Linked DNA regions of Schizosaccharomyces pombe. The protein of the gene in region 3 interacts with the protein of the main gene of each other region in a pairwise test. Each region holds a gene or a part of one and is shown on either strand. Other genes may lie near its edges.

What was found.
Region 1: the proteins of cdc23 (region 3) and dpb2 interact in a two-hybrid assay, tested with the Schizosaccharomyces pombe proteins (2 studies listed by BioGRID).
Region 2: the proteins of cdc23 (region 3) and mcm6 interact in a two-hybrid assay, tested with the Schizosaccharomyces pombe proteins (4 studies listed by BioGRID, with this or other methods).

Annotation. Positions count from the first base shown.
Region 1 is NC_003423.3:3,655,447-3,661,092, reverse strand, and holds dpb2 (DNA polymerase epsilon catalytic subunit B Dpb2), read left to right. Parts: upstream 1-2,162; 5' UTR 2,163-2,340; coding exon 2,341-3,858; intron 3,859-3,900; coding exon 3,901-4,011; intron 4,012-4,051; coding exon 4,052-4,207; 3' UTR 4,208-4,345; downstream 4,346-5,646. Other genes in the region: mpe1 (RBBP6 family ubiquitin-protein ligase E3), read left to right, coding at 1-920; protein vac7, read right to left, coding at 4,718-5,313, 5,389-5,548. UniProt on the Schizosaccharomyces pombe protein: As accessory component of the DNA polymerase epsilon (DNA polymerase II) participates in chromosomal DNA replication.
Region 2 is NC_003423.3:3,878,797-3,884,950, forward strand, and holds mcm6 (MCM complex subunit Mcm6), read right to left. Parts: upstream 4,262-6,154; 5' UTR 4,201-4,261; coding exon 1,522-4,200; 3' UTR 1,302-1,521; downstream 1-1,301. Other genes in the region: gea1 (guanyl-nucleotide exchange factor), read right to left, coding at 1-1,044; sap10 (splicing factor 3B), read left to right, coding at 4,425-4,427, 4,490-4,572, 4,628-4,799; gamma tubulin complex GCP4 subunit Gfh1, read left to right, coding at 5,137-6,154. UniProt on the Schizosaccharomyces pombe protein: Acts as a component of the mcm2-7 complex (mcm complex) which is the putative replicative helicase essential for 'once per cell cycle' DNA replication initiation and elongation in eukaryotic cells.
Region 3 is NC_003423.3:4,077,517-4,083,164, forward strand, and holds cdc23 (MCM-associated protein Mcm10), read left to right. Parts: upstream 1-1,540; 5' UTR 1,541-1,922; coding exon 1,923-3,704; 3' UTR 3,705-4,048; downstream 4,049-5,648. Other genes in the region: SPOM_SPBC1347.09 (hexaprenyldihydroxybenzoate methyltransferase), read left to right, coding at 1-788; protein sro1, read left to right, coding at 4,691-5,011; SPOM_SPBC1347.14C (uncharacterized protein), read right to left, coding at 4,763-5,128. UniProt on the Schizosaccharomyces pombe protein: Required for DNA synthesis. Required for entry into or completion of S phase. Involved in DNA replication and seems to participate in the activation of the pre-replication complex (pre-RC) and in transcription elongation.

The DNA of each region.
Region 1 (5,646 bases), 420 kb from region 3:
AACCACCTCCCCCTGGATATATTTGTTATAGATGCGGTCAGAAAGGACACTGGATTCAAGCATGCCCTACCAACGCTGATCCTAATTACGATGGAAAACCAAGGGTAAAACGAACTACCGGAATACCTCGATCTTTTTTGAAAAACGTTGAAAGGCCTGCTGAAGGCGACGCTGCTAATATTATGATAAATGCTGAAGGAGATTATGTTGTAGTACAACCAGACGTAGCGTCTTGGGAAACATATCAATCTCGTAAAGCAGCTTTAACTGCGAATGACGTGTATAAAATGCAGCCTCCGAACATTTCTTTGGCATGTACATTATGTAAGAAATTAGCAAGAAATGCTTGCAGAACACCTTGTTGTGATAAACTTTTTTGTGAAGAGTGTATTCAAACGGCTCTTTTAGATTCGGATTTTGAATGTCCAAATTGCCATCGAAAAGATGTTTTGTTGGATACTTTAAACCCCGATTACCAAAAACAGAGGGAAATTGAGGCAGTCGTCAAATCTGTACTCGGTTCTAATAGCAAAAACAGTGATAAGGTTGGTACTTCTGACGATAACAATACACCAATGTCTGAAAAGCGCAAGCGTGAAGATGACGATGCAAATGGACCTAACAAATTTGCGGCAAGATCTTCTGCTGTGTTTTCCAAAGCCACCGCTGAACCAGCTTTTAAGTCAGCTATGGCCATCCCAGATATGCCATCAATGCCTCATGTCCAAGGGTTTCCGGCTCCTTTTCCCCCTTTTATGATGCCAGGCTTACCTCAAATGCCGCCTATGATGATGAATGCAATTGCTGGCCAAGTATATCATAATAATCGAAATCCACCTCGTACAAACTCTCGTCCTTCAAATGCGTCTGTTCCCCCACCATCCTCGCTACATAAGAATCCCCCTACTAAAACAAATTAGTTATTACTTATTTCTGATTTTCTTGTAAACTTGCGTTTACTGTTTACGTTGTTGAAAGTCCTTTTTTCAGCTATAATAGGGACAGTTACACATATTCATTCAAAAATTTTTATACTAATACATTCAATTAATACAATCTAATTTATGGAGCGTTTTTTTAATATGAGAGTAAATTCATATCTATTGACTTTTGAATTACTTCGAAGTGGATTTAAAAGTATTTAGTATCATATTTACATCAAAAAATGGATTGCTAACGGATTTGATGCTCAGCAAATTACTGCTGACGCTGATCAGGTGCCTTAACAAAAATTGTAATCTAAGAAATTAAAAATACTCAGAAAGTCATATTATATAAATCAGTAGTAATGTATTTTTTTTTATTTATTTGCAATATTGCAATAAATTTTTCAAAAAGCTTGTAGTAATAATAATAGAGAACAAACAATTCTTAGACTAAAGTTTCCGAGTAGAAGGATCAAGGATTCAGTACTCCTTAATTTTACAAAAGAATATTTATAAAAATAAGCTAATTTTCTAAATCAATTGACATTACAATTCGCCGATCAAATGTTTTATCAGAGAATATTATAAAATCAAAATATTTAGCTAAGCGAAATTTAAATGTATTTTCAATGCTAACAACACGTATTCAGATAATCTATTTATAGGCTTCTCGAAATGTTCCTATTATATAAAACAGCTTAGTTTACCTAAGTTTTACTTTATTTATTAACACATAATTTCAGCTTTCGTAAAGGAATTAATTATACTCAACATTTTGTTAGACATACTATAGTACGCTATGATACAGTACGTAGAGAATCACTATATATCATGTGTCCTAATTATTCATCGTACCACGTATGATACGATATTGAAATTGATTTTAATGATAGTCTATTAAGACCTATATCATTTAAATACTATTAATAGAGTTACTGATAAACTTCGTTCGTCAGTTCAGTTATAAGCTATGTTAGTGATAGTAACGCTATAAGTTGGATAGTATAATATCTATACTTAGTTGCTACTTATATTACCTTTATATCGCAATTTAATAGATCGCAAGAAAACCTCACCGCAATTCAGCGTATCGTTAATATGGATATTAAACTGCGTAGCTGACACAGTTTATGATTTTATAGTAGTGCGTTAAAATATTTTAATGAACCAGATTGAGAAGTTAGCATTTAGCATTTTGATATTAGACAAACAGTGAATAAAGGGTACACCATAGCTATCATCTACAGTAGTCCTTTGAAACTTTTTCACTTGAATCCAAAAAATTATTGATTACATCCTATGTTGATTAGAAAACCATATACATTGATCTGTCCTTGATACAGTGAGTGGGCACTAAACGATTCTATAAAATCAAAAAGCGAAGGGTTTGCATTAATATATTTCTTAAAATAGAATGAACAATTCCATTACGGATTCGGTAGAAAAAAAACCTGAACAGGTTAGTTTTGAAGTTCAACCCAATGCCCTTCGTCCGGTTGCTTTCCACGTATTTACCAGGAAGTACGATCTCAATATTAATCGTGACTCACTGCAGGAATTAGCATCTTTCGTATCTAAAAAATGCGGCTCACAATGGCGTTCCCAATGTGAGCCCTTACTAGACGAAATTGCAAAAACTTGGAAACGAGTTCATGAAACTCAACCTATAGTTACTCGACCTCTTTTGATCCCTGTCTTGGCAAATTTAAATGTTCCGCATGAAGTTCGCGTATCTTCCTTAGCAAGAGTTCAAACGCTTGAGACAACCGGTTCATTTTTAAATTCGAGTAATTCGGAAATCCGTGAAACTATAAAAAATGAGAAATACTTTAGAGTCCTTGATGCTTTTAAAATGCCTAAATTTAAGTACGATTCATCAAGAAAGGTTTTCGTTTTATCAAAACAGTCTCCTACTTTAATGGCATCTGCAAGTGCCTGCACAGATATGCTTAACCGCAGATTCAATGTTGTATATAGCCGTATTTTACGCAATGAATCTTTTCAAACACCTTCTTTCAGTGGCTCTTTCTCTCAAACAGGTACATATCAATTAACTCCTATTCGCAATTTATTAGGTCGAGCTGGAAACACATTTTTGTTGTTCGGACTCTTGACTATAGCTCCCGATGGTACCTTATGGCTGGAAGATCTTGACAGTCAAGTTCAACTAGACGTATCACAGGCAGAACAAGGGTTCGGTCTCTTTTGCCCTGGCTGCTTGGTACTTGTTAATGGTCAATTTCTAAGTTCTGGGCTATTTTTAGTTTTTGAGCTTGGTCATCCTCCCATTGAACGCCGTGATGCTTCCTTGAAGGCCCTTAATAATTTAGATATTTTGGGGTTGAATATGGATGCAAAGCAACTTGCTCTTCTCCGTCACGCGGAACAGGCATATCAGTCACAAGCTTTTGTTTGTATCAGCGAGGTTCATCTTGACAACCATCAAACTTTCTATGCATTAGAAAAAATATTCCAAAAATATGAATCCTCTGAAGCTGTGCCGTTTTGTATAATATTATGTGGAAGTTTTATGTCTTCCGCTTTCCATAATTCAGGAAGCTCAATTCAATATAAAGAAGGATTTAATAAGCTTGCAGCTTCTCTTGAGAAGTTTCCAAAAATTTGCGAAAAGACAAAATTCATATTTGTCCCCGGTCCAAACGACCCTTGGACGACAAATGGGATATCCTTAATGCCTAAGCATTCAATACCCCTTCATTTCGTAAATCGGATCCAACGCGTTTGTAAGCATACCATTTTCGCTTCAAACCCTTGCCGCATCATTTTCTTTTCTCAGGAAGTACTAATTTATAGAGACGATATATCAGGAAGATTTCAAAGGAATTCATTAAAGTTTGGGAAGACTCCCCAAGGTACCTCCAATATTAATTCTATACCCCTTGCAGAACAACAAGTGCATCAGCAAAGAAAAGTAAGCAAGTTTCTTATAATTTTTTTATGCTAATTTGTTTAGTTGGTTAAAACAGTTTTAGATCAGTCTCACCTTTCACCGTTTCCATCGAGAACACGACCAATATTGTGGGATTTTGATTATGCTTTATCAGTTTTCCCGCTTCCTAGCTGTGTACGTTATAAATCTTTTTTTTCTTTGCTAATATTTTTAGATGGGTCTAATAGATTCTGAGTCGTCGGCGTTTGATGTTCATTATGGAGGTTGCCCAACTTTTAATCCCGGTGCTCTTTTACTTGGCGTTCACTATAATTGGCAAGAAGTATTTCCAGTAAAAAAAGAAATAATTACACACAAGGAGAGAATTTAGGACTCAAATCTTTTCCTCATGTAACTGTATAATAATTGCTTAAAAAAGGCATTTCATTCATTAACATGTTAACGATTTTTAAGTTTGTTACATTTTACTGAGCCCCGAATAATAGAACGTTTATGTTAATTAAAAGATAAATCCAAGTAAGATTTCTCGTAAATTAGTAAACATTAATCAAATTAAACTATAAAATTAAGATTAAGGGTTAGTAGGAATAATTAAAAAAATATAGAAAACTCCCTACTAGAAAACAACATTTGTAAAATTCAATATCACTGCTGCGTACAACAACTTCCATGGAGGCAATCAATAGGTGCTATTAGCCTTTAAAAGAGTTGACCGAGTACACAGCATCAAAATACAGAACAACAGTTAATTTTTCCAAAAGGAGCACATAAACGATAAGGCATTAACATAATTCAAAAGGGCATAATAACAAAAGGTTAGCAAACGCTTTACAAGGCCTGACTTCATAATCAAAGAGCCGTATAAGTTGTATCTCACTTCTTATAACAACGGTTGGACTGCATAATGAAAATATACCAGAGATAGCACAACAAAACAAGCAAAGAAAAATGAAATCCATAATCTTTTATGGAGCAAGTTTCTAAGCATTTTCGTAGTAACATCACCACTTTCCTGACCAGACCTTCTACTTGTTCGAAAGGGCTCCTGAGAAGTGGAGGATAATTTTTTGTTAAGTAACGGTGACTTTGAGGTTGTAGGATTGATTTGCAAAGGCGATGTTGCCAAACCTCTAGCAGTGGTAGGACTATTACATCTAGTGTCACTACTTCCAACCATGCTGGAAAATTTTGCAGACCGTTTGGGAATCAACTTGCGACTATTACTAAGTGGGCCTCCGTTGAGCGCGTTAGTGCCTGCCGATCCATAATAAGGCACATGATTTATAGTTGGCAGCATTTCTAAGGGAAGGTTGTATGTTTGAAAAGAGTGAATGGATGCTGAAGGAGAATGTAATTCATCATCATTGGTAGGGATTAGGTTTTCGTAAACAAAATTTTCTGATTCTTCATCGTTTGGATCCTGATCAACGGCAGAGGCCACTCTTGCTGCAAACATAGCTGCTTTGGAAGTCATTACTAAAATGCATGTTAATATAATGATTGAAATAGACAAATTGTGTCCTCAAAAGCTAGCAGCTGCTAGATGCATACCATTGGGCAAACTAATTTTTTTCTTCTTTTGAGCATTTTTTTTTGTTTTAAGGGTTTCTAGAGACGCTTTTCTATCGCAACTGCTCGGAATCTGCACTTGAGACACATTCAAGACCGTCTCAGTCTCAACAGACATTTGCATAGGCTTGGGCTCCGACATATCCTCCTGATTAGCAGAATTTACGTATTTTCGAAGTTAGCTTATGAAAATATTTTGATTTTCGATATTTCCATTCCTATGTATATGTATTGGCATTC
Region 2 (6,154 bases), 200 kb from region 3:
GAGCTGTAGAAGTGATTTGCATAAAGTATCAGTGATGAGTACTCGAAGCGAAGGAAAATCGCTAATATGTGAACCAGAGACCTCTAAGGCTGTGTTTATAAATCTCAATGCCATGGCTTTAATATTATCAGAAAACTTTTGCTTGCCAAAGTCAATAAAGGAAACTAGTACACGAAAAACTTCGCGAATAGAACCAATACCGAAGGGATCGATTTCATTTGAAATCTCATCGCCTTCGGTGATTTTTTTGTAATGGAACTCCTCTCCTTTGATAGAGTGTTCTTCGGATGCGTCCCAAAAATCTTCACTATCCGTTTTCACATCAATGTACTTCAAGCGTTCAAATATCTTTTCAAGGATAGATGTCATCGATAATTCAGCACTATAGCGTAAAACTTGGGAAAGCCTAGACTGGCAACACATACTGAGCCCTGTTTCAACAATTTCGCAAATAGAATCATCACTCAAAACAGCTTTTCCAGGACCTCTTAACAATTCTTCCATTAGCCTAGAAACTCGCAACAATACAGCCTCATCCTGTGAAGCATCGAAGCTCTCAAAACGGCATTGAGTAATAGCAAACGATAGATTACGCATTGACAGTGCTAAATTGGGTGATTCTTCAGAAATGATTCGAAAAGAAAAGAATTTGAGTATAGCTGATAAACATAAGCTAGTTATATAACCTGTCATTCGTGGGGACTTGATTGTCCTCAAAAACGGAGAGAGAAGCTTTAAACTATCGTATCCATTTAAGCTAGCACGGTTCGTCAAATCTTCTTTTAACTGTGAAAACTCCATAACCAATGGATATCGGATACTACTGCTTTTTTCGCCATTTGTTTTCCATCGGCTTTCTAAACCATCAGCCAGAAATTCGTCTTTAAGTGTTGAGACTCCTAAAATGGATGCAACACCAGAATTCCTCCATCTCGTGGTTTTTCTAATTGCCGTCACGACAGTTATAATTTCATTGATCACCAAGGAGGACGGTGAAATCGAACATAACGGCTCTTGGTTAGGAGATGCGCGAGGCACTTCCATAGCCCTTCTGTAGCTACTAATCAAGAGTCTTTATAAAAAGTAACTTGAGGTGTTTACTATTGTAAATAGCGTAGAGGTTTAGTCCTGAACAGTCTCACCCTTCCTTTGGTGTTGAACGGATTTCAGCAGATATGCTTCAACATATTAACATTGCTTAACGTATCACTATACTAATTTACCTGGGTTATATGTTTGAAATAAACATAGATTAATCTGATAAATGTCTAGATCAGGAAAATGAGTATATATTTTTCGGTAGGATCCAATAGTATTATCAAATTTAGTGAATAAAAGTACAAAAAAAGAGTGTAAAGATTAAAATAACAAATCAGGGTTTCTACGGTATGCAGTGAGGAAAAAAAAAATACACCAATTTCGTGAATTAAAGTAGTGCTTCAACAATTAATGTCAGGTCTGTTTCAAAAATACGCCTCACTGATAAAACTTATAAGAGATCGTTACGAATCTTTTATAACCTTAGTTCGGAACATCGCCATTGCTCAGTAGAGCATCAATGTCACAGTTAGGGTGTATTGAAAATACGCGTTCTTCAAAAGGAAGCCTCACGGCGCTGTCAGTTAAATTTTGAATTTCCATGATGATCGATTCGTGAACAAGCCTGGTTAATACCTTACGCACAAGACCAACCTCATAGATGATGTCTTCCTCGGTATGGAATTGGTCTTCCCTAAGCTCGAGATATGACTGAACTAGGTCTCCCGCTGGTACTCCATCTACACCTTCAGTAGAGCGCTGGCGTAAAACCTGTAATATTCCGTTCATAATCGAAACATATTTGTCGTAAGTAATTTTTACTTTTGGTTTCTGCAAAGCTTCTTCCGAAGAAACATTATCATTGCCATTTGTTGTATTAGTATTATCATTCTCAAGTTCTTGGGCCTCTGCATCATCTTCTTCAACCTCAATATCATCTCTTTCCACATGGATAATTGATTGACGTAATAAAGAGTATGCTTCGTTGACAAATGCAGGAGTAATATCATCTACACAGTTTGCTCTTGCAATGGCTTCTGATAGACGAATCATTGACTCCAGTTGTCGCACGGTAATACGATATGAATTTTTACCAGCACCTTGCGCGTCATCCATCCGCAATTGCTTGTACTTTTTAACAATTTCGGCACAAGATTCTGTATTTAACTTTGGTTTGAAAGTCCTTGCATATCTGATATATCGTTGAAGTTGCTCAGTACTAAATTCAGGTTGCATGGCATCATCCCGTAAACGATGAATGTCAACAATATGCTTAGCTAAATGTCTATCAACTGATTCATTGCACTCATCTAGTACAACGAAGAATAAATCAAACCGTGACATGATAGGAGCAGACATATTGATGTTATTCCGCAAAGTTGTTTTTCGGTTATAGCGGCCACCTATTGGATTTGCAGCAGCAAGGATAGATGTCCGTGCGTTTAATGTAGCTTGAATTCCAGCTTTTGCTATAGATATCGTTTGTTGTTCCATTGCTTCATGAATAGCAACTTGGTCTGACAGATCCATTTTATCGAATTCATCTATAGCACATATTCCATTGTCAGCCAACATTAAAGCGCCTGCTTCTATAGTAAAATCCCCAGTTTCTTCGTCCTTAACAACTGCAGCTGTGAGACCGGCCGCAGATGATGCCTTTCCAGAAGTGTAGATTGCACGAGGAAGAAAATTGCAAACGTATTTAAGAAATTGTGATTTCGAAGTACTGGGGTCGCCGACAATACAAATGTTCAGGTCGCCACGAAGATTTATACCTTCAGGAGTTAACTTGTGAACACCACCCATTAACTGTAAAAGAATCCCCTTCTTAATTATTTCATGACCATAAACAGAGGGAGCCAGTGAGTTTGTCAAACGAGAATAAATATGATCTGAATGCACCATCGCACGTAAATCATCAATTTCTTCTTGAGAAAGCGATTGCAAAAATTCATCTTGCTCTTCGATCCCTTGAGAACCATCCCCTCTGACATCCGCACCGCTTTTATCATTTGCATCATCTGGTTGAACCATGCAAGCTAAAAAAGATAGTTTATATGTAAGATCACGTACACCTAAAGACTTCAGTCCTGTCACACCATCTGCATCTCTACCACCAAAATTGCGAGAATCTCGATAAGCTTCTGGCTTTACACCAGGAATTCCTAGCTGTGAGACATCTGGAACGGCAATAAGAATTCCCGTAAATGCGCATTTGTCACCAGCCTTAGCCCTTTCAACAATATCTCCGCGCAAAATTACGTCCAAAGTTCGTGGCATAGAACCCGTAGGAATCTCGTTGCTATTTTCTTGAATGCGCACCTTTTGCCAGTCCTGAAAAGAAGACTGTGAAATATTGAGCCGCCAACTTCTTTTATTAGCACAAAGTTCATTAGGGCATTGAGTTGGTTCAGTATAGCGAAATGCTTGCTCAACATTTGAAACTACAGTGTGGCATTCCTCACAGATAAAAGTACCTTGTGCTAATTCAGGGCGTACTTCAGAAGTACGAGTAACTGTACCTGTAATAGTCGTGAGTCTACCGATACGATCTGTTCGTAAGTCCCGAATTGTGGATCGAAAGGGTAAATTGTAAAATGCAAGAGCAAATGTTTTGTCACTGGCTTTAAAGTTCGGTGAAAGTGAAGCATTTTCACGAGAAAGAGAACTTCTATAATATTCTGGTTCAAACTTTTCAATCAACTTTTGTAAAGCTCGAAGTAAGAAAGGAGAAAATCGATAATATTGCTCAACTATCGCAAGAGCTAACACATCATTGTACGAGGTTAAATGCTTATAATCAACGTAAACGGTATGAATCTCATACATTGCCAATCCATGAATCTGTTGAACATAATATTTCTCTTGTGATGCAGAAGGGAGAGCATCACCTCCAGCAACGCGGTCATCAGAAAATGACAATAAAAACTCTTCAAAGGCTTCACGTACTGATTCTCCGGTTGTATCAATTACCTTTGGTATGGCTTCTCCTATAGCAGCAAAAGGTTTCCTTTTCACCATTCCATCATCCTCGAGCATAGCACTCGACTCAGGTTGTGAAGGCATACTTACAGTTGGCCTGTCCCCAACTTCTGAAGTTTGAAACCCATAACGATATGCAGGAGTTGAAGCATTATTACCCTGAGATGCAAGAGAAGACATCTTCAAGTGTAGTGCTCCCTATTATCAAAAAACTGCAACTACAGGTTTTTGGTCAAAGGATAGCAATGTTTATTTTGAAACGTTTATTTCTGTGGTTGCTTTGGTGCGCTAGAAATCGCAATTTAGAATTGCAAATTACAGTATTATACCTTATTCGTTTCAATTAACAATATGTGTTAAAAAAACCCAGTCTGAACATTATACCACATATTCCAATATATACTATGGTAAGAAAAAAATTCTTGAATTATCTCTATTCTATGCTTCTTTCATTTATTAACGATTGTAGGCAGACAGGTTGCGCTCTCAAGCAAAACTAGAACAGTTACAAGCGCGTTATGTTGGTGTCGGTAATGCGTTTACCACCAAATAGTAAGTACTAATCGGTTTATTTGACAAATGAATTTTCGCTCACCATATAAACTAGTGAATGGATGGTAAATCAGCACCGGGATACTTTGTCTTCTGTAGTGGGGCATCCACCGTTGCTCGCATATATGGCAACGGCGCTCGGCGAACCGAGAGTCCAAGTTCGCAAAAACCTATTAGAAAAAATGATCATGCCATGTGGACCACCTCCCCCTTCTAATCAATTTTAAAGTGTTGTGTTTACCTGTTGCCCAAAATTAATGTCGTTAAACCTTCGCTCGTCTGAGACTTTGTTTGTTTAAGATAAACAGTACCTACTAGGTTATTACAAAATAATATATATATATATATATATATATATATATTAATTGAATTATATGCAATGCTACATTGATTATTGTTCATTGTAACAACGCAAGACATTCCCTAGTCGTTACCTTCAAAGTAACACGAATAAGTTTTAGCTATTTATCTCATTTACTACGAAAGCCTCCTTTGGAGTAGTTTACTTAAATTGGCTATATGTTGAATATTTTCATGCAAACTCTGTAACAATAAATACATTATATGTTGCATGAGATTATTTTGTTGCTCGCAGGGAATACTTCTGGCCTGTTTATTGAGAAAAATGGTCAAATACTACTGCATCCATCTGTTCAACCATTACACCCTGGTGAACGAGAATTAATTAATGACATAGTATCTTTGGCAAGTAAAAGGAAAAGGATAGAACGATATATTGAAATTTTTGATGAAGATTTGATTCAGCAAAACCAGTTTCTTCTTAAAGCTCTTAGACTTCTGCTTTCGAAAAAATTATTTCTTTATGATGAAAGTCTAGCTAATTTAGAGCGGATGATTATATCCAGCGATCCTTATTTTGTAGGTTCCGGAAAATTCGTATCCTTGGCGCAATTAGAAGCGCATTTAGCAGATTGGAAAGAAACTTTATCTAGTCTGCTAGTACTTCAAGGTAATATTTCTCAATGCTTGAGTGTAGCTTCTACGTTTCAAAAGCTGCATAATATGTATATGGGCTCTACTCATTTGAATTTTAAAAAGCTGGTTTTAGAGTGTGAATGTGCTTTTCAGAAGACTTGGCTTGACGAATTAGTGCAGTATTTGGTAAATGATTCCGGCGATGACAGCTTCAAATGTTCGTTTTTATGCGGTGATACTAAAGATTTTGTATCTTGTAGCAATAATGTCCCTTTTTTGACCCAAGACATCGTTAATTGCTTAGTTTCAATACGAACGTGTATGCTCAATGCAAAAAAATGTTTCACAGACGCTTTCTGTGAAATTCTTAGATGTTTCTACAGACTGGTATATGAAATGCCTTTGCCTTTAACGAAATCTTCAGTGACAAAATTAGCAGATGAAATGTTCACTCTGGTATCAGAAAAAATAATATTTCAATTAGCTTCGTTTCATCAGATTTTCGATTTGGTAAAAATGCTAGAGATGGTGATGTTACTTGAAAATGTTGAGTTTCTTCCAACATTATCTGAAATGTTCAGAGACGTTCGTGGTGAATATTGCAGTTCAAATGACGTTCAAGGGGTAGTAATTGATGATATTTTAC
Region 3 (5,648 bases):
CAAGTACCTTGGCGATTTCCAAAGTGATTTCTTCAAAAATTTTACAGTTTGAAGACAATTCCGAAACCAGCCTAAGACATGATCTCCCAAAATATGATCAAGATAGGCTGCTTTTAACTTCGGATGATGATTTGACAAATGTAAATAATTTTTGGAAGAAAAGTGGTATGAGTATATTGGATTTTGCTTGTGGAACTGGTTTAATTAGCCAACACCTGTTCCCTTACTGTAAACAAATTGTTGGCATAGACGTTTCCCAAGACATGGTGGACGTTTATAATGAAAAATTTAGAAAGATGAACATTCCCAAAGAAAGAGCCTGTGCATATGTTTTAAGTTTGGATGATTTGGATGGCAACGGCGATGAACCATTTTCTACTGAATTTGATGCTGTTGTATGCTCCATGGCATATCATCATATCAAGGACCTACAGGAAGTGACTAATAAGCTTTCTAAACTTTTAAAACCTAATGGTCGATTATTTGTCGCAGATTTAATAAAGGGGGGTGATACTTTTCATGGTAATTTGCATCCTGATGAAATAGCTAAGCTTGGCGTAGCTCATCATGGTGGATTTACTCCGCAATCAATTTTGAATTTATTCAAAAATGCATCTTTGTCAAACGCTGAAGTCATTGGTAAAGCTCAGGCAAATGTGTGGGTCGATGAAGCTAAGTATCAACGGTCAACCCAGTCAAAAGACGCTAAAACCTTAGATTTAGCTAACGGAGAGAAGCTGTATGAGGTAAAATTACAGCTGATGGTTATTAGTGGTATCAAAACATGATCCCCTTAATTTTTAATTAGGGATAAACAAATGAATGGTCTGGGTACCCGATTTTAGAAGGTGAAGCAATCAGACCAGGAATTGCTTCATTTAAACAAGTATTGATGTCCATTAAATTGATAGCTTATGATAACTTATAACACTGTGAGTCCCGGTGATTCATTTAAACGAAACTACATACTGAGCATTCAGAAAGGACTAAACTTCATTGAAACGACAATTTCGAATATGATCAACCAAATATTATGTGGGATTACAGGCTTTTTTTATACAATACTGGAAATTTCGTTATATGATTTTTCTTCATAAGTTGGTTTCAAAAGAACTGGCCAACTGTTGTCACAAAGATTTTAATATTAAGCGCAAATTTGAATAGACAACGGAAACTAGGCAATCTCTTCCACCAAATGTAAAAAAAAGTTCGACGTTTAAAATTTAACTGTTCAAAATACCCCTTTTAAATAAGTTACTATATGCATTTGAATACTGTAGACACATCTTTTATGATTCTATATAGACAAATATCGTAAGTTTATATTATGTAAATGAATTCGTGATATCGAACGTGTATACTCATTAAATTAGCGCATCTATTTTAACCTTTTATTATTCAAACTGCAGTTATGTTGTTTACCTATAGCATGTGTAGTATAGAGAGGATTTAATTTTGCACATTATGCTTGTTTATGCACTACATTTTGCATCCTTAAACACATGTCCTTTAGATGTCCGCTAACTGTTTACATTCCTATATGTTTAACCGCGATTTTTAAGTATTGGAAAATAAGAATATCTTGTTAAAAAGATTTATAATTATTACTTGCTTCCTTTTCCAGGACTAAAGAATTTCCTGTTTTTGGCACTAAACTTTTCAACAATATCTTCGCATTTCAAAATACAAATGTGGCAGTATTAAATTTATCCTGTTATTTGTTTTGGCTACTCATACAATAGAGAAGAAAATTTTATTGATCAGAGTTTTTTTAATTTCCTGAAAAGCTAGTTTTCTAGGGTTGGGTTGAAAAGTTTCAGTATTCGTGAGAAATTGACTATATCTAACAGGCGGGGGGTTTTTTTTATCATTGACTTTGGAGGTTTAAGATTAAGAGGAAACCAAGTTTAATTAATGCAAGTATGCATGATCCCTTCATTGCAGAAGAAAATGACTTGGACCTGGAAGAAAAGAGGTTACAGAGGCAGCTAAATGAAATTCAAGAAAAGAAGCGTCTACGAAGTGCTCAAAAGGAGGCTTCTTCGGAGAACGCTGAAGTTATTCAGGTTCCAAGATCTCCTCCTCAGCAAGTTCGTGTCCTTACAGTCAGCTCGCCTAGTAAACTAAAAAGTCCCAAGCGATTGATATTAGGAATCGATAAAGGAAAGACGGGGAAAGATGTTTCATTAGGAAAAGGGCCTCGAGGGCCTCTACCAAAACCATTTCACGAACGACTTGCAGAGGCAAGGAACCAAGAAAGGAAGAGGAGCGATAAATTGAAAACGATGAAAAAAAATAGAAAGCAATCGTTCCAGAGGAAGCGAAACATACTTGAAGATGGAAAAAGTGAAGAGGAGAAATTTCCTATGAAATGTGATGAAATCGATCCTTATTCAAGACAAGCCATTGTTATTCGATACATAAGTGATGAGGTTGCTAAGGAAAATATAGGGGGAAATCAAGTTTATCTCATTCACCAACTACTCAAACTAGTAAGAGCTCCTAAATTTGAAGCGCCAGAAGTTGACAACTATGTAGTTATGGGCATTGTTGCCAGTAATAGTGGAACCAGAGAAACTGTGAATGGGAATAAATATTGTATGCTAACACTGACTGACTTGAAATGGCAACTGGAGTGCTTCCTGTTTGGAAAGGCGTTTGAACGATACTGGAAGATCCAGAGTGGTACTGTCATTGCGCTTCTCAATCCTGAAGTACTAAAGCCAAAGAACCCAGACATTGGACGCTTTTCTCTGAAGCTGGATTCTGAGTACGATGTACTTTTAGAGATTGGTCGCTCCAAACACCTTGGCTATTGTTCCAGCCGAAGAAAAAGCGGTGAACTATGTAAACATTGGCTCGACAAGCGTGCCGGAGATGTATGTGAATATCACGTTGACCTCGCTGTCCAGCGGTCCATGTCTACGCGAACGGAGTTTGCTTCAAGTATGGCGACTATGCACGAGCCTCGCGCACGACGTGAAAAGCGATTTCGTGGACAAGGGTTCCAAGGATACTTTGCTGGGGAAAAGTATTCCGCAATTCCTAACGCAGTAGCTGGTTTGTATGATGCAGAAGACGCCGTTCAGACCGAGAGGGAGCGCAAGGAACGATACAAAAAACAACGAGCGCAGGCTGAACGCGAGCGTGAAATTTTGGTGCGATTATCGAAGCGATGTTGCGCTTCCTCTTCGTCTAGCTCTAACTCGAATAACCTCTCTACGGGAATGTCGATGCGAACACTCGGCCATCAGTATCTAAATTTACAAGGTTCCGGCGTTAAAAATTTACATGACAAGGGTAATCCCACTGCTCTTTCTAAAGATAGCGAAATTGATTCATCGACGAAAAAACCATCCGTTCTGGCCTCTTTTAATGCATCTATAATGAACCCTAAATCCTCTCTACCATCTTTTTCTAACTCTGCTATTCTCGGCACTAACGATGCGGCATCAGGGACACCCGTTCCACAAGATACTACATCCACCAAAGTTTCCCCAGCGGTAGTGTTTACCTCTTCGCCGAGGATTTTTTCCCCCCAAAGTCTACGAAAAATAGGTTTCGATCCAACGCATTCCGCAGATGCATCTACAACGCACTCCACAGCGACTGGACTTTCACGATCCGGCTCCCTAAAAAATATCAAATTCCGATATGAATTTACTGAGAGTGATGATGAGGATGACTTAGAAATAGTTCCCTGAATTTTACGTTGTTTTTCTATACATTATGATGAAAATTAATTATTTAAATTACTAACCAACTTACTAATTAATTAGCTAGCTAATGGATATAGCTATGATTTCAAATGAATGTTCTTTTGTTTACATGCGACACACTTTGCTATCATGAAACTTTCAACCCTTTGTTAAACCTTTCTTCTAAATCCTAATCCTTAGTAAATCCCAATGGAATATTTGAAACGCTTATTAAACACAGTCGCTCTTTTCATTTGTGATGTCAACTGTTTGAATTCAATGTGCGAAGTCTCCCTTTTTTGTTCTGCTAGCTTCTCTCTCATACAAGAACGGCCGTTACAGCTTTTGACATCACATTGTTTATTAATCAAACGAACGTAAGCTTACTTTCATATGGTATGATGGGCTTGTAAGCAATACTAAGATAGCCAGCCAAACTGAGGTACTGTCGACACCTTTAGCTTACGATTGCTTTCGTCTAGGTATCGGACTTTACACTGCTAGTCGCCTATTTTAACGTTGCGCCGTATGGAACGGGTATCGCATTCTTATCAGTAAGGAAAGCTATCTGAATTCGTCACAAAGGAAAAGGCAAATAAATAGTCTAAAACTATATAAATGCGGGCTTCCATCTAAGAGACCTCGCCATCCAACAATTGTTGCGTCCCACCTAAACAGTGTCTAATCAAAGTCAATTGCGAGACATTCTAAAGTAAAAAGTTAATACATTTTAGCTACTACTAAATACTTCTTTTGATATTCTTTTTAGTGAACAATAAAGAATATTGGTTTGATCAACACGGTCATCTTCAGAAAAAAAATTTTTTATTCGTTGGTTTAATTAGTTAAGAAAATTTTTTTTTTCTTTCTTCGCTGACGTCTCGATAATTAAATCTGCGAACGGTGATACTTCTATTCTACACATTTCTATTTAATCACTGTTATTTTCTTTTCTTTTTAATTTCATCAATAAACATTTTTGATTCATCGCTATGTTTTCTATTCTTAAACAAGGTGTCATCTCCAAGTCTCTTTTAGCCGCTACCTCTTTAAAGGCAACGGCTTCAAGATTTTCCTTCTCTACTAGTGTTGCTTCCCGTGTTGACGGTACTAAGAATGGTTGGTCTTTTACCGCATCCAATGTTGCTGATCAAACCACCGATATCGGCATTAACTCTGAGTCGGCTATGAGCTGTAACGACCAAGAGCAACCTCTTTCCTTTTACGTTCAAACTGTCAGAGATGACTTGAACTCTCCTAATTGGGGAGCTGAGCAAAGAAAGGGTGCATTTGATTGGGAAGTAAGCGCTTAAACCCGAATATTGTATACAAGAAGAAAACCCGATTTCCGTTATGATCAGAAGAAAATAATAAAAAGGGAAAACAAAAAATTGGAAAATTGAATGTTTTATCTTATTCGATAAAAGCATTAAACAATCTAACAATGCAATCTTTTTTAATTCGTTATTTTCGCTTTTCTTTTTTTTTTACTCTTCTTGATGTAATTGTTAAGACATGGATTTTATTTTTATTTTTCTAAGGAATTTCGATTATTGGAATTCTTTTACCACCCCCATCCCTCTTTTTATTACCAGTTTCAACACATTGGTTCCCCTGCTTTAGAATGTTTATCGATATAAGCCGTGAACGGTTCCTTGCTTTTACCATTTTTAAATGAGGCAAGACATATGTATTATTAGTTTATACCCCCAAGACTTGTTAGTCTTTATATTATTAGTTTGTCTACTTGTTGACTATAATGATAGTCGCTGATAAAGTTGAAGTTTCCACCTTAATCTTTGTTATTTTATATCCAATTCGCCATGGTCACATTGATTTGATTGAATTTTCGGTTGCTGGATTACAAAAAAGAAATGCCAAATGCGATACAACTGTTACATTTAGATTCAGAATAGGAAATTGTTTGTATAATTAAAAAATAGAAATTGT